Linked DNA regions of Sus scrofa. The protein of the gene in region 4 binds, or shares a complex with, the protein of the main gene of each other region. Links are inferred from orthologs where the notes say so. Each region holds a gene or a part of one and is shown on either strand. Other genes may lie near its edges. The genes, in order: MORF4L1, RUVBL2, EPC1, MBTD1, MORF4L2, ING3 and MEAF6.

Region 1 (4,257 bases), on a different chromosome or scaffold from region 4:
AAATCTAAACTGCCAGAATCCAAAAGAGATCATTCACATTGTTCTTTAAAATAGCACAAGAGCAGGGAGTTCTTGCTGTGGTGCAGCGGAAACAAATCTGACTAGTATTCTCAAGGATGCAGGTTTGATTCAATGGGTTAAGGATCCGGCGTTGCTGTGAGCTATGGTGTAGGTCACAGACGCAGCTAGGATCTAGCTCCAATTCGACCCCTAGCCTGGGAGCTTCCTATGCCACATCTTCGGCCCTGAGAGTCCAAAAAAAAAAGCACAAGAGCAAGGCATTAGCCTAAGAGCCCCTAAGCAATTATCCTTACAGTATAAAGATATCAAAAAGAATGTTGAATTTCCTTGTGGTGCAGCAGGCTAAAGATCCAGTGCTCTTACTGCAGAAGCTCAGATTACTGCTGTGACTTGGGTTCCATCCCTGGCCTGGGAACTTTCACATGCTGCAGGGGTGGCCAATAAATAAATAAATGAATTTTAATTTCAAAAAAATAAGGCACAGGAATCCATAATAAGCTGACTTTAAATTAAAGAACTAGGAGTTCCCATCATGGCGCAGTAGTTAACGAATCCAACTAGGAACCAGGAGGTTGCGGGTTCGGTCCCTGCCCTTGCTCAGTGGGTTAACAATCCGGCGTTGCCGTGAGCTGTGGTATAGGTTGCAGACGCGGCTCGGATCCTGCGTTGCTGTGGCTCTGGCGTAGGCCGGCAGCTACAGCTCCAATTCGACCCCTAGCCTGGGAACCTCCATATGCCGTGGGAGCGGCCCAAGAAATGGCAAAAAAGACAAAAAATAAAAAAATAAATAAAAAATAAATTAAAGAACTAAAACTGGTTAACTTTGTTACAAAGTTATGTAATTCTCTGTGTCTTAGTTTCATTACATATAAAATGAGGAGTAACAGTACCTATCTCATAGGATCATTATGAAAATTATACATGTAAAACACTTGAAAGTTTGACACAAAAAATAAACACTCAAAGGTATGTCAGACACATGTATCTACAATACTCTAATACCACCTAGATCAACTCAGCTAAGACTGTATATTGAAGTGTTACAGGAAGTTCCCTTGTGGCACAGCAGGTTAAGGATACAGCATTGCCTCAGTTGTGGTGCAGGCTGCTAATTGCAGCCTGGGTTGGATCCGTGGCCCAGGAACTTCCACATGCTCTCCCCTCCCCCAAGTGTTAAAATAGTTATTAAACCACATCATCTTTTTTTTTTTTTTGTCTTTTTGCCATTTCCTGGGCTGCTCCTGCGGCACATGGAGGTTCCCAGGCTAGGGGTTGAATCGGAGCTGTAGCTGCCAGCCTACGCCAAAGCCACAGCAACACGGGACCCGAGCCGCGTCTGCAGCCTACACCACAGCTCACGGCAATGCCGGATCGTTAACCCACTGAGCAAGGGCAGGGACCGAACCTGCAACCTCATGGTTCCTAGTCAGATTTGTTAACCACTGTTCCACAACACGGAACTCCAACCACATCATCTTAAACCTTCACTCACGAATACACCTACTTCCAACAGATAGCCACAAGAATGCCTTTCTAAATAACAAAAGGTAGAACCAACCACTCTCTTAAAATATCTAGTTGCTAAAGCATTCTGTCACTTGGAAAAGCTCCTTCAGGACTTCCCACTGTGGCACAGTGGGTTAAGAACCCAAGTGCAGCGGCTTGGGTAGCTGTGGAGGTTTGGGTTCAATCCCTGGCCCAGGAATTTTTTTAGGCCTCGCCTGGGGCATGTGGCCAGGGATCTTAACTGCACCACGGCAGTGACGACACTAAATTCTTAACCTACTGAGCCACAAGGAACTTCAAAACAAGGTATTTTTAAAATATTTATTTTATTGACATATCGTTGATGTTGTTAATTTCTACTGTACAGCAGAGTGATTCAGTTACACACACATATATATATATATATATATATACACATTTTTTTTCATAATCTTTTCTATTACAGCTTATCACAGGATACGGAATACAATTACCTGTACTATATAGTAGGACTTTGTTCAAAGCAAGGTCTCTGATGTGATTTTTTTTTCCAAAGGGAAAAACAAAGGCCAGGTTATTTCTTAGGGAATGCTGAACTTTTTGTGCAGATTCTTTTCTCCTGCTGATGGAGCTCCTTTATTGACACTATTAGATGTATTCTCAGTTTTTTACTTAATGACTTCCCACCTCTGACCTCTAAGATAGCCAAAAGTAGAATAAATAATAAAATGCAACCCTCAACATGATTTCCTTGAGAAAACTTTAAAACATGCATTTACCTAGAGGTCAGGAGGGGGTGGTGTACTGAGGGAGCTCCTTCAGGAACAGGAAAAAGGGCTACAATATCCTCACGTCTCTTCAAAGTTTTTTCAGAGCGCCTGGGCCTCACAGCACTTCTGATACAGACAGCATAGTACAAAGTAATCTCAGTAACTAGGTGTAGAATTTAGCTTAAACTTTATTAAGATTTATTTATAAATGGAATATTTAAATGTCTGTGTCAGTGAATTCCAATAAAGTTTTCCCCTTTTTAGGGCCACACCCGTGGTATATGGAGATTACCAGGCTAGGGGTCAAATGAGAGCTACAGCTGCTGGCCTATGCCACAGCAACGCCAGATCCAAGCCGCATCTGTGACCTACACCATAGTTCATGGCAACGCCAGATCCTTAACCACTGATCAAGGCCAGGGATCGAACCCTCAACTTCATGGTTCCTAGTCAGATTGCTTCCACTGTGCCATAACTCGAACTCCCCAATAAAGTTTTTAGAAATGTTACCTATTGTGCTTCTGAGAAAGTATATACTATTTATTGAAGTTTAAGAACATTCCAATTTGGAGATTGGGCTTTAGTTATACAATTTTCTAAAAGGAATTGAACAAAAAATGAGGATCTTACTTTTATTTATGTATCTATTTGTATTTGTTTCAATTCTAAATTAAAGGGAGCTAGCAAATTTTTATTTACCACAAGGTTCCATTTAGAATCTTGCAAATTCCAATATAAAATGCATCTAAATAATGACCTTGATCTAAAAACCACATCAATTTTAGAATTTCCTTCACATGTCAGGAGCTGAAAACCCTTGGGGAACTACAGAAAAATGAAACATCTTTTGCTCTGAGGAACATCACTATTAGGGTAGTAACTGAAGGCCAAACATTCCAAAGTTTTACATATTGCTAAAGCAAAAAAGAATTTCAGAATTTTCTAAAGGAGCTTGTCATTAACTCCCAAAGTCACAATGATCCACAGCACTTTGTACACTGCACTAACAACACACTTGCTGTGTATTTGAGTAACTCATCCTTCTTTCTGTATGAGTTTATGTAAAGGCTTCTCTAAATGCTTACTAAAGATCACAATTTTCAAAATTACATGTATTTATCTACATAGTGAATCAACTACAAAAAAACCCCCCACATCCTTGTTAATATTCCTCAATGTCTACAAAAATATTAATAAAGATCTCCAATATTTAGTGCCATTTAAAAAATTCTTTTTCCAAGGAGTAATACACAAAGTGCACCAAAAGCAAAAACAAAATACTATGCAGCTTATGGAATTCCCATTGTGACTCAGTGGGTTAAGAACACAACCAGTATCCATGAGGATACAGGTTTGATTCCTGGCTTCCTGCAGTGGGTTAAGGATCCGTTGTTGCCCCAAGCAGCAGCGTCCATCGCAGATGTAGCTGGGAAATTGCATTGCTGTGGCAATGGATGTAGGGTGGCAGCTGCAGCTTCAATCTGATCCTTAGCCTGGGAACTTTCATATGCTGCAGGTACAGCCCTAAACAGAAAACAAAAACAAAAAAACTGTGCACCCATCATTTATTTGTATCACTAGATAACAACCTAACAAAAAAGTTTATTTTCAAGCAGTACTCTCAGAAAATACAAGCATTTTACATCAAGTATTTCCACAATCTCTTTCTTTTTTGTCTTTTTAGGGCCACACCCGAGGCATATGGAGGTTCCCAGGCTAGGGGTCAAACTGGAACTGTAGCTGCTGGCCTACGTCACAGCAACACGGGATCTGAGCTGCATCTGCGACCTACCCCACAGCTCAAGGCAATGCCAGATCCTTAACCCACTGAGCAAGGTCAGGGATCTAACCTGTGTCCTCATGGATGCTAGTCAGATTGTTTCCACTGAGCCACAACATGAACTTCTCCACAATTTCTTATAAGCTACAAAAGCCACTTAATTTCCAGTCTTTCTGCCACACTCCTTGTCATGTGAAAGTT
Region 2 (4,246 bases), on a different chromosome or scaffold from region 4:
AGACGGGTGCCGCCTCCACCACAGATCCGGGTGGATTACTCAGGGCCAGGCCCACAGAAGACAGGAGGTGGCACCGGGACGGCAGGGTGGCCTGCCCCTCTAGGCAGAGGCTGGGGAGTTGGAGTCAGAGTGGGGCCTGTGGGTGGGAGAACACAGAGGGTCCCCTGGACACCTGAGTCTGGGGTCTGTGGGGTACTGAGGGGGGACCTTGGGGGAGGGCTGGGCCCCAGGTAGACACCCAAGCCCCGCCCCCACCCCCTACAGGTGCGGGTGCTGCCGGCTGCCCTGCCACCCGTGCCCCAGCCGGTGTGCACCTACCGAGAGCTGAGCTTTGCCTCCATCCGCCTCCCTGGCTGCCCGCCTGGCGTGGACCCAACGGTCTCCTTCCCCGTGGCTCTCAGCTGTCACTGCGGGCCCTGCCGCCTCAGCAGCTCTGACTGTGGGGGTCCCAGAGCCCAACCCTTGGCCTGTGACCGCCCCCTACTCCCAGGCCTCCTCTTCCTCTAAGGACTCCCGGCCTCAGCCTCCCAGGCCCACAGATGCTCCCCCCCACCAATAAAGGCTGCTCCACCTGCACTCTGGGGTTGTCTATTCTGGGGGCTGGGGCGTGTGAGCACGTGCGTATGTACACACCTACACCCACACCCACACAGTGGGCCCAGTTTCGGAACCATTTTATACAAAGTCACGGTGTCAGAACTCTGGTAGAAAACAGGGGAGGTGGGGGAGAGGGTGACGTGGGCTCAGGAGGTGTCCATGGTCTCGCCTTCTGTGGGGAGAAGGAAGGCCAGGTGGTCGGTGTGGCCCAGAGGGCAGGGCCCGAGCTCTCCAGGCCGGGCTCCCCTCCCTCTGCGGGCCGGCGGGCGGGCGGCGGTGGGCGGCGGGGCCGATACTCACTGAGCTCGTTGAAGAGGAAGGCATCCTGGTACTCCTTCATGTACTGCGTGGATCGTGACTCGTCCAGAAAGAGCGAGTAGACCCGCTTGATGTCGTCCACCTGGACCTCCGTGCCCTGATGGGGGTGCCAGACCTCAGAGGGGGGGCCCCCCCGGGGCGGGAGCAACGACTCTGGGGCCAGGTCGCCTGGGGTCAAATCCCAGCAGGGCCACCGCCCGGCCACGGCCCCCACCTCTCCACCCCTGGTGTGCTCATCTGTAAAAGGGACTTCACGGCATCGGAGTGCAGCCAATAGCTATTCAGTCGGCGCCTCCCGGCGCCTCCCGGGCGTCCGGCCAGGAGACACAGCAACCAAGCGCAGAGACCGGAAGCTCCCTGCCTCTGAAACCCAAGTCCTAGGACGAAAGGCTGTGGCCCAGGGAAAGCCCTGGGACCAGCGGGCCCTCCACTCACTGCTCCAAGCCCCCAGGGCGCCCTCAGCCGCTGACCTTGCGCTTGCGGCACACCAGGCTGGCGGCTGTAATGAGCTGGATGGCGTAGCGCAGGGAGGTCTCCAGCCCGATGCGGGTCAGCACCGTGTAGGCGTCTTCGCTCATCTCCACATCCTCCTCCTCGCACCTATGGCGGGGGCGGCGGTCAGCCAGGGTGCAGACTCTGCCGCAGAGCCCTCCCCCAAGGGGCGCTGCTGCACCTCCTGGGGCCACGTGGAGTCTCACTCTCAGAGGCACAGGATGCTGAGTGCCAAGGGCCGCTGAGGCACCGGCTGAGCCTAAACCTGGGGTGGGCCTCCGGACCCTCCCACTCCTGGGCTCCCCCTCACCTCCCCCAGCTGTGTCACCAACACCCCCCCGCCTTTCTCCAACCCTCACAACCTCCTCAGAGGCCACTGCTTCGATGCCCAGCCCAGCAGGACTTCTGGCGGGCCCAGCCACCTCCCCTTCAGACCTCGGGGTCCCCATGGGCCAAAGAGGGTGGACACCAGCCCCACCCGCACCGGATGCGGAGGATCTGCTTTGTGTCTTTCTCGCTGTAGGGGGAGGTGGAGACGATGAGCAGTCGGTCCAGCAGATCGATGGGGATGCCATGGGGGCTCTGGTAGCTGGTGCCCCGGATCCTGGGCAGGAGGGGGAAGGGAGGGCGGTCAGGGTGGTGCTCTTAACAGCCCGGCTCCCCATTCCCCTTACCCGGACAGCCCTCCCCACCCCTTCCGCCATGGCCCACTCACTGGGTCAAATACCACTCGCTTGGCCTTCAGCTCCCGGCCGGCTGGCGTCACCGCCTGACAGCACAGCCGGCCCCTGACTGCATCCCTCCCCCTCTAGAGCTGGGCTGGATTTAGCTAGAGATCTATGTCTGGGATTAGCGGCTCAAGGTCCCGCTTCTCTGCTTGACACAGAGCTCCACTGGCACAGTCCTGTCCCCTGCTGCACATGGCAGGTGCCAGGAAACAGCAGATTCCTTTTTTTTTTTTTTTTGGCTACACCCGAATCATATGGAAGTTCCCCGGCCAGGGACTGAACTTGAGCTGCAGCTGCAGCAACTCTGGATCCTTAACCCACTGCACCAGACTGAGGATCAAAGCCACGCTGCTGCAGAGACAACACTGGATCCTGAACCCACTGCACCACAGCAGGAACTCTAGCAGATTCCATAGCAACACGGGCTCAGCTCAGAGCCCCATCTGCGACCTACACTGCAGCTAATGGCCTGAACCCACTGAGTGAGGCCAGGGATCAAACCCACATCCTCATGGATAGTAGTTGGGTTCTTAACTTGTTGAGCCACAAGGGGAACTCTGTCAGGAATTTTTCCTTAGCATCCTTGGGCCAAGGGGAATAAGTTTTGTTCTGTTTATTCCTAAGTAGTTGGATCTAAGTGACTTAATTGGAGTGGTTTACAGAGCACCCGACTCATGTCACGAGGTGTCCCTCAAACATTTGAAAACACCCACAGCACTCCTGTGTTCTCTGCAGCACCCCGCGTGCCTGCCTGGGCACACAGTTTGGAATCTGTAACCTTGAGGCCTCTGGGAACAAGAAAAGACAGAGCATGCTGGGTCCCAGAGCGCCTGTGCAGCTGGGCACCCACCAGCCCCGAGCGCTCGCCTGCTTTTGTTTGAGGGAAAGTACGCCAGCCGCCCGGGCCCCAGCGCCCGAGGGCAGCCCACTACAGCAGCGCAGCTCCCCAACGAGGTGCTCCGCAGCCCTGGCCTGTTTAACCCTGTGGCCTTCCTGCCACCCAGCACGCCCGTTCTCACCGGGTGATGCCGCGGTTGGTGGCCATGATGAGGACAGGTGCCATGTCACTCTCCAGGGCCCGGTTGAGGAAGGAGAAGCTCTCGATGTCCAGCATGTGGACCTCGTCGATAAACAGCACCTGGGGGCCATCGGGGGGGGGACATGAAATCCACCTCCCGCGCCCCCTCTTCTCCTGCGAACCCCCGCGGGCCGCCTGCCGTGGCCTCGGCCAGGTACTCACGCCAGGGATGATCTCCGCCTTGCCCTCCTCCCGCCACTCAGCCACCTTGGCGTTGATCTGCTCTCGGACTTCTGACTTGATCTCCCCCGTGTCACCTGCCGGTTGTGGGGGGTGTCAGAGAGGAGACAGGGATCCAGGGCCGGAGGCGGGACGATGACCCAGAGAGATGGGAGGCCGGGCACAGAGGGAAGAGAGACCCAGACTGGAGTGGCTACGCGACATGAGGGCCGGGGAGTCGGAGGGGCCCCAGAGAGGAAGAACAGAGGCAGAGGGGGTACAGGGGCGCCCCCGTCAGACCACCTGAGAGAAGGACTCAGGCAGGAGTGGGGAGGGGGCAAACCACACACCGAAGGAGAAAAAGATACAGAGGAGACGGGGACGCCATGGGCACTGGCAGGTGGGAAGAGGGAGCTCGGGGCCGGGGGTTGGGTGGGTGGACAGACGGCCTCACCTGAGAAGAGGGCCAGGAAGCCCTGGGTGCGGGAGTTGATGACATCGATCTCGTGCAGGGACACGGTGTGCACGACTTCCTTGCGTTTCTGGAGCTCCCCATCCGGGCACTGCACGAACTTGGTCTGTGGGACCAGGGGCAGGGTTCAGGCGTGGACAAGGGCAGAGAAGGGCATGGGGGGCGGGGGCAAGGCGCTGTCGGGGGGAGACTGGGGCGCGCTGGAATGAGGTGAGGAATCCAGAGGGGGTTCCCCAAACCCCCAGGCCCAAGAGGTAGTCAAGACAAGGGCACGTTTCTTTTTTTTTTTTCTTGTGTTTGAGGGCCACACCCGCGGCATATGGAGGTTCCCAGGCTGGGGGTCAAATGGGAACCGATGCAGCTGCCGGCCTACACCTTGACCACAGCAACATGGGATCTGAA
Region 3 (4,257 bases), on a different chromosome or scaffold from region 4:
TCACCATTAACAGATAACTGCAGGAAAAACCCAAAGGTTTAAATTTTAACACAGCAATTTTGGTGAAAGATTTGGGAGAGATGTTGAAATTCATGCCTAAAACAGTGCTGAGGAACTTTCTACTATTTTGAGTTGCCTCTGCTATAAAACTACTTTGGCTGAATGAATCGTAAGAATTTTTTTTTTTTTTTGGCTTAGGGCCACACTTGCAGCACATGCAAGTTACCGGGCTGGGGGTCAAATCGGAACTACAGCTGCTGCCTATGCCACGGTAGTGGCCACTCGGGATCCAAGCTGTGTCTGTGACATACACCACAGCTCACAGCAATGCTAGATCCCCGACCCACTGAGTGAGGCAAAGGATTGAACCTGCACCCTCATGGATACTAGTCAGACTTGCTGCCACTGTGTCACGATGGAAACACCCCATAAGGAATTTAATGGTGGGTTTCTTCGGGAATAGGAACTAAGAACTAGGGGACCGAGGCTTGAAATTTTCATTGTGCACCTTGAAGGATCAGCTGGGTCTTTCCTCCTCCCCCTTTTTGTATTTTTCTGCTTAAAAAACTCACAAAGTGTTTTAAGAAAATTTAGTTCCATCTAGTGAATAAAATAAAAACTTTAGAAATGACAAATGTTCTCTCTCCCTCACAACTCTGCACACAACTCAAGTAAAGGCAAAAGAATATCATTTCAAAATGGAAATGCCTGGCATATTTTAATTTTACTGAACCCAGTCACTTTAAAAAAAAATAGAAGAAAACACATAAAGTTATACAAAGTATATACAGCATGCCACACATTTCAATGGCCTCTAATTATTATTAAAAGAATATATTTCTGGAGTTACAGATAACTGCTTAGGAAATAAATTAACTCCACATACATATTTCTAATGCAGTTAAAACAGACATTACCTCTTTTCCATAATTTCCAGTGTTAAGTGCAATAGCTCCCTTTTACTCTTTTCTCTTCTTTTTATCATCTCTAGAATAGTAACAGCCCGACTTAGATCTCGACGCAGCTTAAGCATTTTTTCATAAGAGGCTTCATCATTTTTGCGATTCTGCAAATATAAATTTGTTTGTTTGATGTCAATAAGCATTTCTAACTAGTGACATTCTGAGTATAGCTTCCGAAATATAAGAATATATATATATTTAAAAAAAGGAATATATAAATATATATTTGAAGGGTTAGATTAGAATTTAAAGACACTGAAAGGGAACATGGATCACGAGGAAATCAATTTTGACTATGGTTTTTAACGTGGATTAAGAGTAACACATATCACTAATAGATCTGTAATGAACCTTAAGGTTGATTCATTTTAAATTAATATTTTTCATTATACTGTATAAAAAGTCTGTCTACACACAAATTAAAACACAACCTTCAGATACTGAGATATTCATAATTATATATACATTTTCTTACATCGAAAAAAAAAATTACAAAAAATGTCCCCAGGATCTCTTACTTTTCGAGTCTGCATTTTTTCAGTACGTCTTCTAAAAGCCACATAAGGATCATTTGTGCTGGAACCATCTCGCTTCTCTTGTTTTACGGATGGGATAAGAGACGGCCCTCGACAGTTTTTTCTCTTTTTAATCCAGTATTCATAAACTTCTCTAATTAATTCATCGTCTTCTTTTAGCAGTAGTTTGGCTTCCTGCAGACTGACTGGCTAAATGTAAAACCATTATGTCATTTTCACATAATACAAATAAAAGGTTCAAAGCACTTCTGCAACTTTAAAGGACAATAATCAAAATAACAGTATTAACCGTGGCAAACACACTGAGTTCGTTACACATGCCAGCCAATGAGCTAGATGCTTTATGTTAACTATGTTATTTAATTTTCCTAACGACCCTGGAATGTCTATCATCTTTATTTTACAGATGGGGAAGCTGAAGCACAGAAATTGAAACATACTGCAGGTCATACAGGTTAGTAATGGGCAGAGATGGGATATGAATTCATGCTTGTCCAGAGCTTGCTCTCTCGGCCCCACCCAACATCACGCTGTTTCCATATAAAGAGATATTTATATAGACATATTCACACACACTTAATGCATACACAATGAAGCTGTACCTGCTGACCACTGCCTTTTTCTAGACGGTCAATCATTTCCTCAAACTGCAATGGGCAGATGTCCATTTTCTTCTTCAGTTTATTCACAAATACTTCATCTTCAGAATCCAAATCATAATCGGGCTGTTCAGCATCCAAACTAAAAGCTGACAGAAGAAACCATAAGCAATCACTTACTGTGTGAATACACGACAAAAACCTTCCACAGATGTGTGGATAACTTCTAAAAGATATAGGAAAGATTTTTTTTTTCAGACTCACAATCTAAGCTCATTAAATTTAAGATCATCTTTACTGTTATGATAAAAGTGATAAAAGACAACCCCCCAAAGCAAACAAACTAGAAGCCCATTATTAAGAACATAAAGAGACTGTTAACTACACTGGGTTGAACTACATGAAAATTTTGTAGCTCAAAAATGATAAAGTATCAGCAATTTCATATAATCTCACTTAATAAAAGAATGAGATCTTTAAGTAAGATGTTTCTAGAATATTTAAGTCCTATTTTATAGCTTATTTAACTACTTAACCAAAAGCTTGGGGAGTGCTATTTAAAGCTGAAGTGTTAGAAGCCACTGCCAATAACAGTAAGAGCTGTCACTCAGTGAGGTTTGTCCCCTTATGAGAATCATTGTCATGGTGAGAGAAATATGAAGTATTCCTAGGACTGTCAAAAAAGGGGCAAGTGGAGTTTCTGGGGTGGTGCAGCAGAAATGAATCCAACTAGGAACCATGAGGTTGAGGTTCCATCCCTGGCCTCGCTCAGTGGGTTAAGGATCTGGTGTTGCTGTGAGCTGTGGTGTAGGTCGGTAGCTGTAGCTCCAATTAGATCCCTGGCCTGGGAACCTCCATATGCCACGGGTGCAGCCCTAAAAAGCAAAAAAAAAAGGGAGGTGGGGCAAGAACCACTGCTTTATACTATACCATCAAATGTCACCCAATTATTTATCAACATTAAACTAGTTTGATAGTAAAATAAGAAGCTTGGTATCAAAAATTACCTCACATCTTCCCCTTGCTTTGATCCTCCTCCTACCTTCTCATGACCCTCAAGTCCAAATCCTTAGAATTAACAGGTCCTTTTGGACCCAGCCTGGCCCTCTCACCAGTACTTTATGATCTAGCAACATCGAATTTCATACATTTCAAATAGCATGCTATTCCTTCAGGTCTCCAGGCCTTTCCATGTGCTATTTTCTGCTTGTCCACCTAGCAAATGACTATTCTTTCCAAAACTCAACCTGACATTAACTCCAGTGGAATCCTTTCTTGACTGTCCTCCTTCCACCAAGTAATTCTCCTAACCACTTTTATCTTTTTTAGAAGCTATGAACCCTCTCCCCAGAAAAACAGGAGGTATAAACATAAAAGATTTTGTATAAATTATAGACAATTCAAATGTCCCTAAAAGCTTGTGGCACCAAGGCAAGAAATTCCTGTTCTAGACGGCTCTCCTTCTTCTGTACCATTTTTACACATACTTTACAATCTATTTGTTAAGCATTGAAACAGGTTTGATCTCCTTGAGAAGAAGTGTTGGGTCTCGTTTATCTCTGCACCTCCAGTGCAGGGACAGTAAACATGCCAACTGCTCGCAGGGTTCTACTGAAAAGCATCTGGATTTCACTCTATTCAAGTGGAAAAAAGGCCTCAGAAAACCTGCATCACTCGCAGTGATGAGTCATAGGTACAAGAGGAGACTCCCTGGCTGACCCAAATCTGCCATCCTTCAAGGTTAATACAGCATCTGGCCCACAGGAACCCAACAAGTATTTGTGGAACTGAATATACTATCCTACTGCACTGTATTTCATTTTCATTTTGACCTACATCCCACTTCTAATCAACATTCCTAATTAAAATAAATTGAGAGTTCCTGCTGTGGAGCAATGGTTAAGGATCCAGCTGCAGCAGCTCAGGTTGCTGTAGAGATTCGGGTTCAACCCCTGGACCAGCACAGTGGGTTAAAGTATCCAGTGTTGCCAGAGCTGTGGTGCAGACCGCAGCTGCAGCTCAGATTCAGTCCCTGGCTTGAGGACTTCCACATGCCGTGGGTATGCCCAAAAATAACACAGAATAAAATAAATGAATATTCAGACTCCTTCATAGAAATGTCTATATGTTAACATCTCTGCACCCATTTTTCTTACAGCA
Region 4 (4,894 bases):
GGGTTCGATCCCTGGCCTCACTCAGTGGGTTACGGATCTGGCTTTGCCGTGAGCCGTGGTGTGGATGCAGATGCGCTCAGACCTGGAGTTGCTGTTGCTATGGCTGTGGCCAGCAGCTACAGCTCTGATTCGACCCCTAGCCTGGGAACGACCACATGCCACGGGAACGGGCCTAAAAATGGCAAAAAAACACACAAAAAAAATAATAATAAATAAATAAAAATGTCCAGATGATTTCTACTTGCTCCATTCCTGGCCTGTGATCCTCCAAAGCCCTACAAACCCCAACTCACGAGACTGTTTCTTTTTCTGCCTGGGAAGCTGTCACCCAGTTCAGCATTTTTTCAGTAGTATTTCTCTATCTCCCAAGTAGATTCTGCAACCTCTCCCATAAGCACCCAAAGAAGGTTCTGGCAATCAACTAATACTTGATAGGTCCATATTCACTTATCAAATAGAGTAATTTTCAGTAAGGCTTTGCTTGGCCATCCGATGTAAAATTTCATAGGCCTCCTCTACACACACTTATCTCCCTTTCTCGAGTACCTTTATTTTTTCTCTTCAGCACTTCACTGACATACCTGAACTTTATCTTCTGCCTCTACCACTAACACAAAAGCGCCAAGAAGGAAGGGATGTTTTCCTGCATTGCTGCTTCTCTTCCAGTGCCTAGAGAATGCCTAGAAATAGCCTATCTTGGAATAAAAAACAGGTTCAGGATTTAAAAAAAAAAAAAAAAAAAGAGGCAAAAAGTGTGCAAAAAATATTATGCAGGGTTCTCATTGCCAGGAAAAGTATCTGGTGCCAAACTGGCCCACAGAGATTTACTGGCTAGACGAAGGCAAGATCGTTCTCAAAAGCTAGCTAGTCTATCATATGGATAAACTGTTAAAACAGACTCTCAGGCCCGTGCCCATGAATTCTTACTCCACAAACGAGGTGGAATCCCCGAATCACAAGATATTGAGGCAGGCTACTGAACGGCCAAGCGGAAAGGAGCACCGAGTTTAGGAGATGATGGGGTTGAGCTGCGAAAAATGCTCAAGACTTTCAACACAGATTAGTATGTATTGAGCGCCTGCTAGATACCTGGGAAAGCGGTTCCCAAGGGAGTGAAGCGCTGTCTCCGCCCTCCGGAGACTTTCAGAGTGGCACCCCTGGGCGCCCGCGTTCCCGGCTCCCTCCCACCTGAGAGCTCCTCTGCGCCGCAGGTCTCCCAGGCTCCGCCCCTGGAGACTCACCGCCCACCGAGCGCCCAGCCCGCGCGCCTCGGCCTCCCTCACCCGCGGGCCCCGCAGACGCCGCAGCAGCGCGTCCTCGTCGTCCAACACATCGCCGAAGACCAGCTCCTCCAGGCACTGCTCCACGGCCGGCTTGTCCTCCTCCAGCCTCAAGCGATTCCGCTGCCGGAGCCGTCTCTCCTCCTCCGCCGCGATTGCTATCGCAGCGGCCGCTGCTCCCGGCGGGGCCGGCGGTTGCCGCTGGGATGAAGCAGCAGCCTTTCGGGGCGGCCCAGCCCGCCCCAGTCCAGCTCTCCGGCCCGGCTTCACTTGGGTCTTCCGGCCCGGTCTCACTCCGGGTGTCCTGTCCGGTCTCGCTCGGCCCCTCCGTTCCGGCGGCATCCTTGGGTTTGAGAAGGAACGCGGGCGCTCACGTGGAACCTCACTGCGCATGCGCCGAGGCCCCTCGCTTTCCGCTGCTGCTGGGGCTGCCGGAGGCCGGAAAGAGCCTGCAACGCCTGTGAGCACGTGACCAACACTCTCTCGCTCTACGTAACGCCCACTCCCCGCAAGAGCTCCTCCCCGTGTGGGAGTTCCTCCGGGAGGACCAATCTTCCGAGTAGAGGGGGAAGCGTCGTAACTGGAGTGGGAATTTTCTTCCAACACAACTTCGCAGCTACAAGTGATTGAAAGGAACGCAAGAATGCTAGGGTATAAACTGAGGTGACGGGATGAAATTTCTCCTTTCCTTCCTGACTTTTAACCACTTGACTTACACGAGCCCCAATTGCCTTTTCCACCCCTTCGTCTTGGTACGGCCCGTGGAGTACGGAGCCTGCAGAGGGTCCCATGCTGGAAGACTGAGAGGAGGGTATGTAGGGAAGTGGGCCAATCGGGGCGCGGGTCACGGCGCAGGCGCGCTAGGGAGGGAGGGCTATGCTAATGTTGTTGATATCCTGGGGCCACCCGAGTTAAAGGGGGGAAATCCGGGGGCTGCCGCAGCTGCCACCGGTCTGGGCCCATCCGGGGCCCCCCCTGTAGTCGCCATAGTTCTGGGCAGAGGCGTCTGCCCCCAGCTCGGGAGGGGGCGCCGCGGGCCTGGGGAGCACGGACAACCCCTACCCATGAGGCCCTGATGGAAAACACAAAGGATCTGGTGAGAGCCGAGCGCGGCAGCTGCTTTGTGTGCCAGGTGGGGGGGACGCCCGCAGCTCCCCAACCTCAGGAACCCCTGCAGCTCCCTGACCCTGCTCCCTGGCCTGCTTCTCCATCCCACGCCCCCTTCACCTCCGGAGTCCCCCTCCCCCCTGCCGGCCGTTAAACGATGCGGGGAGAGGGGGTTTCCCCTCCCCCCACCCGCTCAGCCCCGGACTGTTCGGGGTTCTCTCTCTCCCCCCCCCCTCCTCCGCTTTCTGGACGAGAAATTTTAGAAGAAAGTTATTCTTTGCGTCCCGCCCCCCTCCTCCTTCAGCTCTGGCTGCGAGGGGGGCAGACTGGATTTGAGAGTTCCTTTTTTGGCCGCTCAGGGTCGCAGAGTGGACGCCTCACCTCTCCCAGGGGGGCAGAGTTTCGGTGCTTTGCAGGGGAAGGCGCTCTCCGCTGTGGGGCGAGTGCTGCGAGGCGTTTCGCACGTGGAGGTGGAAAAATTGAAAGGGGGCGGGGTGGGCACGTGTGGGAGGGAGAGGTGGGAGTGGTGTTTGGGAAGCTGCCGACGAGGCAGCCTATTTACAAGGGTCCTAAGTCGGAGGGCTTTATGACCGTCGCGTTCCCTTTTGTGAAATGAGAATCCTAACATTTCAGAGTCGGAAGAGACAGTAGAGGTCACCCAAGGCAGCCGGCCCCCGTGCAGCCTCTCTGAAAAGTGGTAGGTAGCCTGGCCTCTGCCCCAACCCTTACAGACGCGCTCGCTGCTTCCCAGGAAAGCCCTTTCCGTTCACTTCTGATTGTTGCTGGCCTGCCCTTATGAGACTCATTAATGTCCCTGTTAAGTGGATTCCGTTTTTACTTCTCATATTTTCTCTCACATCCTCCTCACCCACCCACCGTTCACTGGCCTATATTTTGTGTGCCAGGAAAGCAACAGCAGGGAAGTGAAGGAAGGCGGGCTGGAGAGAGAGTGAGGGCTGTCTGAAGACTTGTCTAGATGAGGTCAAATGAGCTGGCTTCGATGTGTGAGCATGGTTGATATTTTTCTACAGGAAGCTTGAGAAATATGATCTGGGGATTTCATGGTTGTTTTCTCTAAGTTGGACATTTCAAGACCATCTCCGTAGTACTCCTGTTTCAAAGCACATGTCTTGTTGCCTCAATCACTTAAGAATGCCTAAAATTGCCTCTTGGTAGAGAGGAGAACGGAAGTACTGCAGGCCCCCTCCCCACCTCCCTTTGACCTGTGTGCTTCAATCAAGCTTCCTTCTCAGCGCCCTCCTTTCACAGTACTTTCGTTTATTTCTTTTTTTCCCTCCAGTTTTTTATGATATTTGAGTTTTTTGCAACTCTTTAACATTTGCGTAGAGTTTGCAATATTTTTTATGCTCCTTGCATTAACCTGTTCCAGGGATTATCACTCAGAAGTTGAGATAGTTCAGTTCTACTTTTGTCACTTAGCATTTTTTTGATGTTCTTCATTTGGTGAGCTATGTTGCTTCCAAAGTAGTTTTATTGGCATAGGAATCTTGGGGGCACATGTTTTCCTCTTCCTAATATGGTTAAGTGAGAGTGAAGACATAACAGATAAAATGTCGAAGTAATGAATTGGTTGTAAAAGCCAGAGAGTAAATTTCACTTTGAACTCCCAGTCTGCTGTTTAAAATGTTAGAGCACAGAAATTTTTGTCTCTCCCCCTTTTTATGACTCGGAGACTGTTTCTCTGCTCTAATGTATTTACACTGGGTTTTTTTGTTTGTTTATTTACTTCAACACCAGTGAGTGTTGAGAAAGAAAATAGTTGTCCGTTTTTGCACCACCTCCTTCTCTGAATAACAAGAACTTCTATTTATGTAGAAGCCCATACTCCAAGGTTCTGGTGCACAGTATGGCAAAAACTGTCTTGAATAAGTATCTGTTCTTAAATATCTGATATTGGACCATATCTTTTAACTGTCCAATTTTTAACTTCATATACACTTTGACATGTGATATTTTCTCTAAATCTAGTCACTAAGATTTAACCTGAGACTGAATACTAGGTACTGATAAAAGTTAATGGAACTGTGTAATTGTGTCCTGAAAGTGTTAATTAATGTGGAGTTTCAAGTTCCTATTCCCTTCAAACGTGAACTGTCATGATTTAAGTTGAGTGACTTTGGAGACATTTGCATTCCAAACATACTAGACAGGAATGACTGGTTTTATTTTTAAAGAAGACACTACATTGTATTTTCATGGCTGGTTATATGTTGACTTAATTCCTGTAAAAACCTTCTTGGTTGTTCAGAGGCTTCAAACCCTTCGTTACCTTGGAATTTAAATTGTTTTAAATGTAACACAATAGTCAAAGGAAGGTAAAACTATAGCTTAGAAGTGAAAACAACATATTAATGTCATAAATACTAAGCCGCTAGGTTACCAAAAGCCAAGAGTTCTCAGTGGTTTGAATGACCACATCCTAAAATTAGACAAGTCACTTCATTTGGTTGCTTCTTGCTTCTGAGTTTTTCATCTTTAAAATGTTT
Region 5 (3,792 bases), on a different chromosome or scaffold from region 4:
CTCTTGCAGCATATGGGAGGTTCCCAGGCTAGGGATGTAATCGGAGCTGTAGCCGCCAGCCTACGCCAGAGTCACAGCAACGCGGGATCCGAGCCGTGTCTGCAACCTACACCACAGCTCATGGCAACACCGGATCGTTAACCCACTGAGCAAGAAGGGCAGGGACCGAACCTGCAACCTTATGGTTCCTAGTCGGATTCGTTAACCACTGTGCCACAACGGGAACTCCCAGGTATTTCTGATATAACACTGAAGGCGGCTGCCTAGGCTTCCTCTGGAAGGAAAGAGCAAAGATCTGAACAAATGTGAGGGACTGGGTTTTTTGTTTTTCTTTTTAGGGCTGCACCTGTGGCACACGGACGTTTCCAGGCTAGGGGTTGAATTGGAACCGCCGGTGCCGGACTACGCCACAGCCACAGCAATGTGGGATCTGAGCCGCATCTGCGACCTACACCACAGCTCAAGGCAACACCAGATCCTTAACCTGCTGAGTGAGGCCAGGGATTGAACCCGCAACCTCATGAATACCAGTCAGGTTTATAACCCTCTGAGCCATGAAAGGAACTCCTATAAGGAACTGTTACAGTATATCCAATTACACCAGCCCAACTCATAAAGGACAGGAGCACCAGGAACAAAAGTGGCTCTGACAAGCAGCACTAGAAAACAATCCCACCCTGAGAAGCCACACAGAGGGGAAAGGAAGGGGACTGGCCCGACAGGGCATACTCCTGGATGCGACACCCAATAATAAAAGGAATTCTTTCACTAGGAGTTAGAACTCTCTCCTTTAATACCATCTAGATCTTGCCTAAGCCTGCTGACTTCTCCACCTCTGGGACATGAAAGGCACATTGCAAATTATTTGCTTTGAAATTTAGAAACAAATTTTATTTAAGATCTGAAATACAATTCCTAAAATATCAACTTCTCCAGAAAACCGTGGCTACACAATAATGCATTGCCCCTATCATGTTAGAACGTGCATTAGACTCAAATACAAAAACCATGAAACAAACCACCATCCTTCAACAATTTGAGCAAAGATAGAATGCCTAAGGAACAACAGAGATGGACTTGCAGAGGATGGGCTGTTTTACTTCAAGCACCATAAAAAAAAAAGAGCACAAATGCATGGGTTTTCAGGTATATACATTAAGTTGAACCTTTGGCACTAGGAATCAGGGCATTTTTCCACATAGCATTAACACATATTAGAAAATTGTGTAGTGTCAAAGGGATAGAACCACCAGCATTCAAGCAATGTTGTCAACTAGGCAATAAAATGTTCTACTGAATGTTTCTTCTTTGTCTAATTACTGTGTACACTGGTAGCAACTTTGAAATGAGAAAAGGAGCTTGCACTCCTTTTATTTTCTGTTTAGAATAAAACAGAAAACAAACTGAAACATAAGCCCTGTTATACATGAACAATTTTAAAGAACATCAATTATACAAGAAAAAGACTAAGAACAAAAAGAGTGTTTACAGATACCAGACATAACAGCGAGCGGTCAGGAGACCCTCACAGGGCTTTGCGGTGGTACTCAGCAGAAGCCACTTTATAATCACTGGCAGTAAACAGAGACGCAGCATTCTTTGCCAGGTATTTTAGGAAATCATGCAGATAGCCCAACAATAATGCAAGGCTCTTCTCATCAAGGGGCGTATATGCCAACATTGCTCCAATTCTCACAAATAATCTCAGTAGGTGTGGTGCCCCATAAACCTGGGACATGGGCGCATCAGGGTGAGCCAAGAGGATTTCGGCATACTGGGGCCTCTCAAATTTATAGAGCAGCTGAGTGCCCAACATCACATTGAAATACTCTTTTATTCCTGCCACAACTTCATTAACCGCATACTCCTTATTATCAACATTTCCCTGTGATTTCTTGCAATTTGCGTACTCTTCCAGAATGGCATCTACATTTTTCTTAGCAGGGAGTTGAAAGAGCTGCTTCTGCCTGGTAACTAAGTCCCAGTCCTCAACTAGCCATGGTTTTAATTCTTCAGGAATCTTCACTTTCACTTCCATTCTATTCTTAAATGCCTCCTCACTTTCCACAGTGGGGTCAGCCCGGGCCCTTTTCTTCCGAGGTGGCTGAGGTGCTTCGCTGGTACTGCCACCATCTCCATTTCCAGGGGTCTTCTGTTTGTTCTTTCTGGTCTTCCTCACGGACCCCGAAGGGGGGGTCTCTGCAGAGCGACCCCCCCACCTGCCGGGGAGTGCTGCTTCCAGATTCTTCTGCTGTGGACCAGCGGTCTTCTTTCCTGAGGAGGCTCCTCTCATCTTACTTCTCTGCATATTGCTTCTAGTTGGTTTTTTGAAGTTGTCTTCTTCTGCAGATTGTTGTCCACGAGTTTGAGAACCCTGCTTTCTGGAACTCATTCAACCCTGTTTTTATTCCAACCACTGTAATATATAAAGCATTTCACTTGGTTGTTTTCTATGGTGACCTTTAACACTGCTTCATAAAGGCCCACCAAAGCACAACACACACTACTCTCTTGGAATTCTGATTTCAAATTCTATTTCAGGACCAATTAATTGTAAGTGATTTACTACCTCCTCCTTCTCTCTTTAATCCTCACTACCACTCTCCCACTACTCTCAGCCCACCCACTCGCTCATCAGACCTGCCCATAAATTAGTTTTTCCATGCCACTCTAAAGACAGAAATATGATTTTAGAGAAAGAATTAAACTACAAAGGGCAGCAGAAATGAAATTAAAGACTTCTGAACAGGAAAAATGATAAGATAAAAGAAACAAGAATGATAAATTTAGGTTGCTGGACGCAAAATGAGTAACAGCAAAGGTTTTTGTATAAGTCCAGGGAGGCCTCAACTAGGCTGTCACAGAGTAAGAAGAAACTGAATTCAGAACTTGGTAAATGAAGGAGAGGGAGGAGTCAAAGGTGGCTCCACAATTTTAAGCCTGGGTAATTTATGAATAAAAGCACTAATTTTTATGGTTAGTTTGAAATCAGTAATCAAATAATAGGAAATAGGTTAATACATCCACTCAGTTAGTCATCATATATTACTGCTTATTAGCTTCAGGACAGGTACCATGTTAGGCGCTAGGGATTCAAATATCCAAAGTGACAACTATAAAACAAGGTTAGTACAGTGATAGTTATGGGCACAGAATATTTGGGGATAGAAAACAAGAAATGGTACCTAACACCACTTTCAGCAGTAGCTTGTTGGAGGAGGTGATAAATTGGTGAGAGATAAAGCCAGTGATGAACCAAGCATAGAATTCTGGAAAAAAACCTAAGAAAGAATGATATTTAAGGGGTCAGCAGAGAGATGGAGACCACCAAATGAAACAAAAATGGTCAGAGCAGCCATAGGAGAATTAAGAGAATGTTATTTTGTTAAGCCAAAGAATTGAGTTTCAAGAAGGAAAACGGATGATCTACACTGTAAAATGCAGCAGAGAGGGTTAGTGAGATAAAGATGAAAAAAACAGTGTTCTGTGCTTCTTCTGGTATGACAGGGTAAACAATTCCTTTGACTTACGTAATCCTCTTCCTTCTTTCCCTTCCAAGAACTTCTAGTGTTTTCCCAGATGGAACCTTATAGATCTTCTGGGATGGTAGGGAAAGATGAGGTGGGAGACACAACCTAGAAAGGAAAGGAGGCATCAGCAATGAAGACAAACTTTTGTGAAATAGAGGAAAAAGAAAAAATAATCTATAAACATGTGGTTTACAACTGTGATAACAGAGAAAATACATGAGCCCTGCTGTTAGACATACTTCTACTTCAATGAGGCACCGCT
Region 6 (3,029 bases), on a different chromosome or scaffold from region 4:
TATATTTTTTTGTTTACTGTGTCAGTCTAAGAAAACAGGTTTGCAGTTACGTTAATTATGTCATATTAATGCTAGAATATTTTTCCCCCAAATAGGAGAGTGTCCCTCAATGTGTTTCCTATTTTAAAGCTAAGGTCTCAGAAGGTGTTTCATTGTAGGAAAATTAGGTAAACCTTCCTCTCCTTTTGCCAAAGAATGCTGTGTTTGCTAGAATTCAGTTCACTTATCAGAGTGAAGAATTGGAACTTTTAGAACAATACATCCTTTCAGGAAGCATGATGCTAAGGTGAAGGCTCTCATGTGCTTATTTCCCTCCCATTAGTGTAGTATTTCCTACTGCTTTGCAGGTGTCAGCTGATAAGAGCCACTTCTGATATAAAAAATAAAGAAGGTTTGAAAGAAAAGAACTCCTATTTATTTTCTATGAAGTTTAATTGGGGTTAGAGATATGTTTTTATTGAATGCCATGAATATTTTTGTCTAGTAATTTCCATTCCCTTCTCACTGTCAGCCCCTTTTTGTCCATCTTTTCCTCCAGAGGGGTAACACAACTCTGAATGTCAGGATCTGCAGGTTAAGGCTAAGAGTTTTAAATGTTTAAAACAGTTTGAAGATTGAGCAGGGTTGGCTCATAAAAATGTGTACTTTCCTAACCAGCCAGGGTCCCAAGACGTTCAGGTAGAGAAAGACTCTCCTTCCACTTTCCTCTATAGACTCTCTTGTGGGTTGTTTATGGTTATTGCAAAACAGTAGCCCCCAGCCATTTCAAGAAGACCATTGTAAACTGTCTTCTCGGGCGGTTATTGAAGATGATGAGTGAGATTTCTGTGAATACCCTGTCAGACTCTCTGATCCCTCTCATTCCCAGTTGTGCTGTTCTCAGTCCTAGGATTTTGCACTTGTAGAGCCACTTCATATATTGAACAGCGGAGTTCTTTTTCTCTCCATATCTAGGAATAGATAGACCCAGAAAGAAACCCAGGGCATCACTTTATGTCTTTCATTACAGCTGGCTAATTTTACTTTGTAAGAACACAAATAAGGCTGAATATTAAATAAAATCTTGGAAATACATTTTGCCTTCTATGTAAGAGACCTGTCTCACTTCTTGTCCTTGTGAGTTGGTGTCGATGTACTCTTCAAATGAAAGTCAGTGAATTTGTGTTCGTTGAGATTATGAGAATAGATTATGTGAAACTCAGCTAAAGATGCATAATTTTCTATGTCTCCATTTCCTTATCTCTGAAACTTATCAGTTGGACTAAATCATCTCTAATCCAGCTCTTCGATCTGAGTCCACACATCTAATCATTAATATTTAGTTCCTGGGCACGTTTTACCATTCTTCCTAGTCTTTGACAAAAAGCTGTTTCTTTTCATGTTTGCTTTCTAGTGCCCTATAGAATGGTTCCATTATGGATGCGTTGGACTGACAGAAGCGCCGAAAGGGAAATGGTACTGTCCACAGTGCACTGCTGCCATGAAGAGAAGAGGCAGTCGGCACAAATAAGGGTGGTCATTTCATTTGAGGAAGAAAACAACTTCAACATTTTATATAGGACTTTAAAAAAGAAGAAAAGCGAAAGAAGAAACAATGCATTTCCAAGCACCCACTTTAAGGATTTACATAGACAATCCTATAAGATCTTGAACTTGAATTTTATGGGTTGTATTTTAATAATGTAAGTAAATTATTTATGCACTCCTGATGTGCTCTGAATATTATTCCAGTTAGCCTTGGATTATTTCAGTGGCCAACATATGCAGACATTTGTACTCCTCAACCATTTTCTCAAAGTAATGGGCATTCTATAATTTACACTTCAATGAATTCCAACGATGAAGATTTTAAGAAAAGTATTTTATATTCAACAGGTATGTTCTGCTGCATGTACTGTACTCCAGAGCTGTTATGTAACACTGTATATAAATGGTTGCAAAAAAAAAAAAAAAAAAAAAAAGACAGTGCTTCTAAAAAGAATTTAAGATAATGGTTTTTTAAATGCCTTTATAATAAGCTTTGTTTCTTTGTGAAACTAAATTCAGCGGGCTGAAGGAAATGGTTCATGTGATAAAGTGGGCTGGTGTCCTCTAGAGTACCTGGGTACATAAACAGAAACTCCTGTAGGTAAAAACTAATCTGTGCCATTAGTCTTTATATGTTTCTGCATCCAGATAGAATGCAGTTCATGAGGGTGGGAGGGGGAGGGGCTGAAGGGAGAGGGTGTTAAAGTGATACATTTTTATACCAAATGTGTTTATTTTTTTGTGCAAGTAATCCTTAAAATTGGAATTGTATTAGGTGTTAAAATAAAGTTTTTAAAAAATTACTTGTATTTATACTTTACACACTTAATAATGAAAATTTCTGAATTCCATTTAACTTCCAATTTTCATAATCTAAAAAGGACAGAGGCCCAGGACACAGAATGCTGCGTAATCTGTTATTTCTTTAATAATGCTTGGAACTTGTGATATGAAAATAAGGGAAAGACATTTTTAATGTAAATTTGAAATGCAAATGTATTTTTCTAGGACATCTCCCTGGCTTTTCCTTCAGTGGAAGGGACATGAAAGAAGTCTAATTACAGCAGACAAAAGGAAAATTATCGTTATAGCTGTTTTGACTTGAGGCAGTGTGGCCAACTTAAGAAACCCCCTGGACTGGAGCTTAAAATTCACTTCTATTTTTGATTCTACCACATGTTGGTATGACAGTTAATTCACATTTTGAGTCACTCTGGGCCTTATTAAACCAGGGTGATCCTGGCTTCAGGATGTCTATAAAGCACTCCTAACGTTTTATTCTATAGGTGCTATTTAAATTATAAATTTTGCATAGCGGAGGTTTTATTTAAGGTATAATACCGAATCTGGTCGGTAGAAAAATCCTTAAAACTTTAAAAATACTTATTATATCATATTTCTTTTATATCGAAACTTACTGAATCCATCAGATTTCTGCTTTAATCAAAACCACTTATGAGCCTCTTAGAACTTATACAGAAAACCAAAAAATCTATGCAATG
Region 7 (4,257 bases), on a different chromosome or scaffold from region 4:
TTCAAGGACTTTACCCCCTACTCTAGATACTCTGAAATAGGCAAACAATTCTTTCTTTTAAAATGACACTAGGGTAAACTTAATAAAAGCAACACAGGACATGATCTTTTTATCTTGACAATTAAAAAAAACTTTTAAGAGTATGCTTCTCTGCTGTTTATGATTAAGCTAGTAGCATCAGTCCTTTCACAGTGACCAAATTCACTATAGCCTTACCCAAAAAAAAAAAAGGTATGTAATGTTGGCTCTTTCTTACTGCACTTATGAGACTGGCATGTGATTTTTGGTTTGCAGAAAAATGTGAAGCAGCTGTCCTTAGTCACTATCTGGAGAATACACTATTCCTACAGTCTAAAAACCACCACCACCAGACAAGAAAAGCTCTTAAAAGAATTAAAGAATCAGTTGATACCAAGGAGGCTTACACCCGTTAAGAGTCAATTCTCTGTTATCCCTGTGTGCCACAGCCACCAAGCTAACATTAACACCCTGCAAGTGTGAAGGAATGTTTTATGGGACAAGCCAGCCCAGAAGCAAACTGGAGGACACGGAACCCCACCCAGTCCTTGCACGCCCCCTTTCATATCCTCGGCAGGTAGGCTCCTAAGTGGGGCAGGAAAAAGCCAGCCTACTGAGCATCTGGTTTTCATGCCTCTCAGAAGAAGGTTTGGGGACAAGAATCCTGCCTCCAGAAACTATGCATTACCCTCTCTGAGTGCAGCTGTATAATTTCCAATTATCTAAGCTAATAGGCCCTGGAACTATCATACTAACCCTAAGCAGGGGGACACGTGACCTCTCTGGCTGTCCCCTGACATCTCTGCCCACCAATGTGATTCCTATCTCATTACGCACTGCAAAAAAGAAACAAAAAAAACAAAAACAAAAAAACCCAGCAGACCAACATTATCTAGAAAGGTGCTCTCATATCTTACAGCCTTTAGACTGTTCCTGTGATACTAAAATCAGTATATTGTAGTGATATATAAAAATTTAAAAATCAGAATCAAAAAACTTGTATTTAACAAGAAAAAAGGCATGTCAGATCAGTTTTCTCCATCTTCCAGGGAATAAGAATAGGCAGGGATCAGCATTAAGAGCAAAAGACTTATCCCACTTTGCCCTTTCCCGATACATACTAGTGGCATTTTCCAAATGCTAGTACAGAGATTCCATTCTACTTCCCTTTTCCTCCTCTAAAAAGATTTCAGAGTCACTGCATTAAACAAAAGTGTCATGGAATCAAATCTGTCTACACTAGAAACAGTGAGAAAGTTGTCTTCCTTCGGAGTTACTCTGATACCCACCAATTCCTCCCTTAGAGAGAGAAAAATGAGCCTGTTTCCCTTGGACCACATGAATGTCTCCCCATCAGCAACAGAAAGACTGCACCAACCCCAAAGAATGTTTATTTCAGTAAAGTCCCTTCACAGCAACGGCCATGGAAGCTCTAAGTGTGTGGGGCTGGGATGGGTAAAGGTGGTCCCTGCCACTGACCTGTGCCGGTTTTTATTCTTCCGTTTTTTATGGCTGCTGTGATGACTCCCTGAGGAAGTAGAAGAAGCAGCCTTCTGAGGTTTCACTCCCTGCACAGATCCATCCAGATCCTCAGGGTCCTCCTGGCTGGGCTCGTTTTCCTGATTGTGGAAGTCAGGAGAAGTATCACTTTCCGTCCCACTTCCTGGTTCCCCTGGAGGGAATAAACACAAATCCCCCAAAGCGTCATCAGTATTCTCAGGCAGCCTGTCCATCAAGTCAGGAAAGATGCTTTCTGAGCCCTAATACACAGAAGACTATCCCTTATCCTCAAGGACCAATTGACAAGGAAGATACATACAGTCAAAGCATCAAAGTTACCAGAGGTCCTGAAAAACCTATAACCTGAAACAGTGTAACCAGAGGCAACAGATGATGGACAGCTGGGAGAATGGACCACACAACCAGGATAACCTCATAGGATACATTAATGGGATTCATAATTATAAGAGAAGCATTACAGAAAACATCACATAAATCTTGGGAGGTGAGAGATGACCTTGGGAAAACGCCCTACAGCTGGCCCTGGTTCCTTCCCTAAACCACACAGGAATCCTAACTTCCACCAAGAAAACAGGCCCAAGAGAAGAGCCCCATTACCTAAGTTACTCTCAGAAGCCTTAAGAATGATATTTTTAATGGTAATAATAGCCTTCAGATGATACATATTCCCAATTTAAAACATCCTTTAGATATACTAAACAAGCAAGTTCAAGAACAATTTATATAAACACATGTTTTTTAAGAAAAACTACATATATATATATATATATATATTTTTTTTTTTTTTTGGTCTTTTTGCCTTTTCTAGGGCTGCTCACATGGCATATGGAGGATCCCAGGCTAGGGGTCTAATCGGAGCTGTAGCCACTGGCCTACGCTAGAGCCACAGCAACATGGGATCTGAGCTGCATCTGCAACCTACACCACAGCTCACAGCAACACCGAATTCTTAACCCACTGAGCGAGGCCAGGAATCGAACCTGCAACCTCATGGTTCCTAGTCAGATTCGTTAACCACAGAGCCACGACAGGAAACCCATGAAAAACTACATATATTTTGGTAAATGTATACTTTTTCTTTCTGAAAGGAAATTCTTGAAACTCTTAATACGAAAGGATGGGGGAAGACTTTCACTTTACTGAACTGTTGAAGAATCCTAAATGTGTACATTACCTATTTCTAAAAATTGTTAAAAGAGGTTACATGAACAGCAGGACCAGTGACCAGCTTTCTTCTTTTTATGTTTTTATATCATAAACTGCCGGGAAAGATTCCAAACTGAGTAGCACAGGGATACGAGAGCTAAAAGATGCAGGCCCCAAAAAGCAGGAGAAAGCAAAGAGAAAGCAAAAGGGATCTCAGCCATCATGAAACCCTATTTTTGAAGACTTCATGAAACCAAGAAAAGAGAAGAGTTCTAAAACTATGAAGCTAGATAAAATAAACTGATCAATCCTGTCCTGAAGTTTAGGAAAACAGATTTCATGTAAAAATTAGCAAAAGAACCTCACAACTTATCACACAAAGCTAGAGTAACAAGACTGTGTAGTAGTGGCATAAGAACAGACCATAGGTCAAGGGAACAGAATTCAGCGTCCAGATATAAATCCTTACATTTATGATCAACTGATTTTCAGTGGTGACAAGACAATTCAATGAAAAAAGGATAGTCTTTTTGACAAATGGTGCTGAGATCACTGAAGCCTGCAACCCTATCTCACACCATATACAAAAATTCACTTGATGGAGTTCCCATCGTGGCTCAGTGGTTAATGAATCCGACTAGGAACCATGAGGTTGCGGGTTTGATCCCTGGCCTCGCTCACTGGGTTAAGGATATGGGGTTGCCATGAGCTGTGGTGTAGGTCATAGACACAGCTTGGATCCCGAGTTGCTGTGGCTCTGGCGTAGGCCAGCAGCTATAGCTCCGACTAGACCCCTAGCCTGGGAACCTCCATATATGTATGGCTGGTGAGGCCCTAGAAAAGACAGAAAAAAATAAATAAATAACTTGAAATGGGAGTTCCTTTGTGGCGCAGTGGGTTACAGATCTGGCATTATCACTGCAGCAGCTGGGGTCACTGCTGCGGCGCAGGTTCGATCCCTAGCCTGAGAATTTCCACATGGTGCCGGCAGAGCCAAAAAAATAATGACAATAATAACTCGAAATGAATCATAGACCTAAATGCAGGAGCTATAAAACTTTTAGAATCCATTGGATTAGGCAAAGGTTTCTTAGCTAAGACCACAAAAACAAGCATGACAGAAGAAAGTATATGTAAAGTGAACCATATCATTCATATAAAACTCTTGAGCTGCATGTATCACCAAAAAAAAAAGTAAAAAACCCACAGTGGGGAGGTAAGGGCAAAATGAGTAATGGGGAGTTCCCGTCGTGGCACAGTGGTTAACGAATCCGACCTGGAACCATGAGGTTGCGGGTTGGATCCCTGGCCTCGCCCAGTGGGTTAACGATCCAGCATTGCCGTGAGCTGTGGTGTAGGTTGCAGACGCGGCTCAGATCCCGAGTTGCTGTGGCTCTGGCGTAGGCCGGAGGCTACAGCTCCGATTCAACTCCTAGCCTGGGAACCTCCATATGCCGCGGGAGCGGCCCAAGAAATAGCTAAAAAAAAAAAAAAAAAAAAAAAAGAAAAAAGAAAAAAAATGAGTAATGGAGGTCAACTACACGGTAACAGGAGGAAACTAAACTTGTAGTA

The links.
Region 1: MBTD1 (region 4) and MORF4L1 share a complex: the UniProt entries of both Homo sapiens proteins name them as parts of the nuA4 histone acetyltransferase complex. The link is inferred for Sus scrofa from reciprocal best matches to the Homo sapiens genes MBTD1 and MORF4L1.
Region 2: MBTD1 (region 4) and RUVBL2 share a complex: the UniProt entries of both Homo sapiens proteins name them as parts of the nuA4 histone acetyltransferase complex. The link is inferred for Sus scrofa from reciprocal best matches to the Homo sapiens genes MBTD1 and RUVBL2.
Region 3: MBTD1 (region 4) and EPC1 share a complex: the UniProt entries of both Homo sapiens proteins name them as parts of the nuA4 histone acetyltransferase complex. The link is inferred for Sus scrofa from reciprocal best matches to the Homo sapiens genes MBTD1 and EPC1.
Region 5: MBTD1 (region 4) and MORF4L2 share a complex: the UniProt entries of both Homo sapiens proteins name them as parts of the nuA4 histone acetyltransferase complex. The link is inferred for Sus scrofa from reciprocal best matches to the Homo sapiens genes MBTD1 and MORF4L2.
Region 6: MBTD1 (region 4) and ING3 share a complex: the UniProt entries of both Homo sapiens proteins name them as parts of the nuA4 histone acetyltransferase complex. The link is inferred for Sus scrofa from reciprocal best matches to the Homo sapiens genes MBTD1 and ING3.
Region 7: MBTD1 (region 4) and MEAF6 share a complex: the UniProt entries of both Homo sapiens proteins name them as parts of the nuA4 histone acetyltransferase complex. The link is inferred for Sus scrofa from reciprocal best matches to the Homo sapiens genes MBTD1 and MEAF6.

What each region holds. Positions count from the first base shown.
Region 1 is NC_010449.5:48,059,660-48,063,916, reverse strand, and holds part of MORF4L1 (mortality factor 4-like protein 1), read right to left. Parts: intron 2,403-4,257; coding exon 2,286-2,402; intron 1-2,285. UniProt on the Homo sapiens protein: Component of the NuA4 histone acetyltransferase (HAT) complex which is involved in transcriptional activation of select genes principally by acetylation of nucleosomal histones H4 and H2A.
Region 2 is NC_010448.4:54,259,904-54,264,149, reverse strand, and holds the end of RUVBL2 (ruvB-like 2), read right to left. Parts: intron 3,951-4,246; coding exon 3,827-3,950; intron 3,471-3,826; coding exon 3,376-3,470; intron 3,274-3,375; coding exon 3,155-3,273; intron 2,012-3,154; coding exon 1,892-2,011; intron 1,516-1,891; coding exon 1,386-1,515; intron 1,013-1,385; coding exon 898-1,012; intron 770-897; coding exon 744-769; 3' UTR 658-743; downstream 1-657. UniProt on the Homo sapiens protein: Possesses single-stranded DNA-stimulated ATPase and ATP-dependent DNA helicase (5' to 3') activity; hexamerization is thought to be critical for ATP hydrolysis and adjacent subunits in the ring-like structure contribute to the ATPase activity.
Region 3 is NC_010452.4:42,853,308-42,857,564, forward strand, and holds part of EPC1 (enhancer of polycomb homolog 1), read right to left. Parts: intron 2,247-4,257; coding exon 2,101-2,246; intron 1,688-2,100; coding exon 1,481-1,687; intron 1,067-1,480; coding exon 918-1,066; intron 1-917. UniProt on the Homo sapiens protein: Component of the NuA4 histone acetyltransferase (HAT) complex, a multiprotein complex involved in transcriptional activation of select genes principally by acetylation of nucleosomal histones H4 and H2A.
Region 4 is NC_010454.4:27,523,360-27,528,253, reverse strand, and holds the start of MBTD1 (MBT domain-containing protein 1), read left to right. Parts: upstream 1-1,953; 5' UTR 1,954-2,091; exon of another isoform or gene 2,092-2,412; intron 2,413-3,020; 5' UTR 3,021-3,084; intron 3,085-3,093; exon of another isoform or gene 3,094-4,894. Other genes in the region: UTP18 (U3 small nucleolar RNA-associated protein 18 homolog), read right to left, coding at 1,284-1,673. UniProt on the Homo sapiens protein: Chromatin reader component of the NuA4 histone acetyltransferase complex, a multiprotein complex involved in transcriptional activation of select genes principally by acetylation of nucleosomal histones H4 and H2A.
Region 5 is NC_010461.5:84,552,906-84,556,697, forward strand, and holds the end of MORF4L2 (mortality factor 4-like protein 2), read right to left. Parts: intron 3,636-3,792; 5' UTR 3,531-3,635; intron 3,282-3,530; exon of another isoform or gene 3,186-3,281; intron 2,417-3,185; 5' UTR 2,393-2,416; coding exon 1,526-2,392; 3' UTR 865-1,525; downstream 1-864. UniProt on the Homo sapiens protein: Component of the NuA4 histone acetyltransferase complex which is involved in transcriptional activation of select genes principally by acetylation of nucleosomal histone H4 and H2A.
Region 6 is NC_010460.4:25,947,388-25,950,416, reverse strand, and holds the end of ING3 (inhibitor of growth protein 3), read left to right. Parts: intron 1-1,393; coding exon 1,394-1,510; 3' UTR 1,511-1,961; downstream 1,962-3,029. UniProt on the Homo sapiens protein: Component of the NuA4 histone acetyltransferase (HAT) complex which is involved in transcriptional activation of select genes principally by acetylation of nucleosomal histones H4 and H2A.
Region 7 is NC_010448.4:93,564,564-93,568,820, forward strand, and holds part of MEAF6 (chromatin modification-related protein MEAF6), read right to left. Parts: intron 1,691-4,257; coding exon 1,498-1,690; exon of another isoform or gene 1-1,497.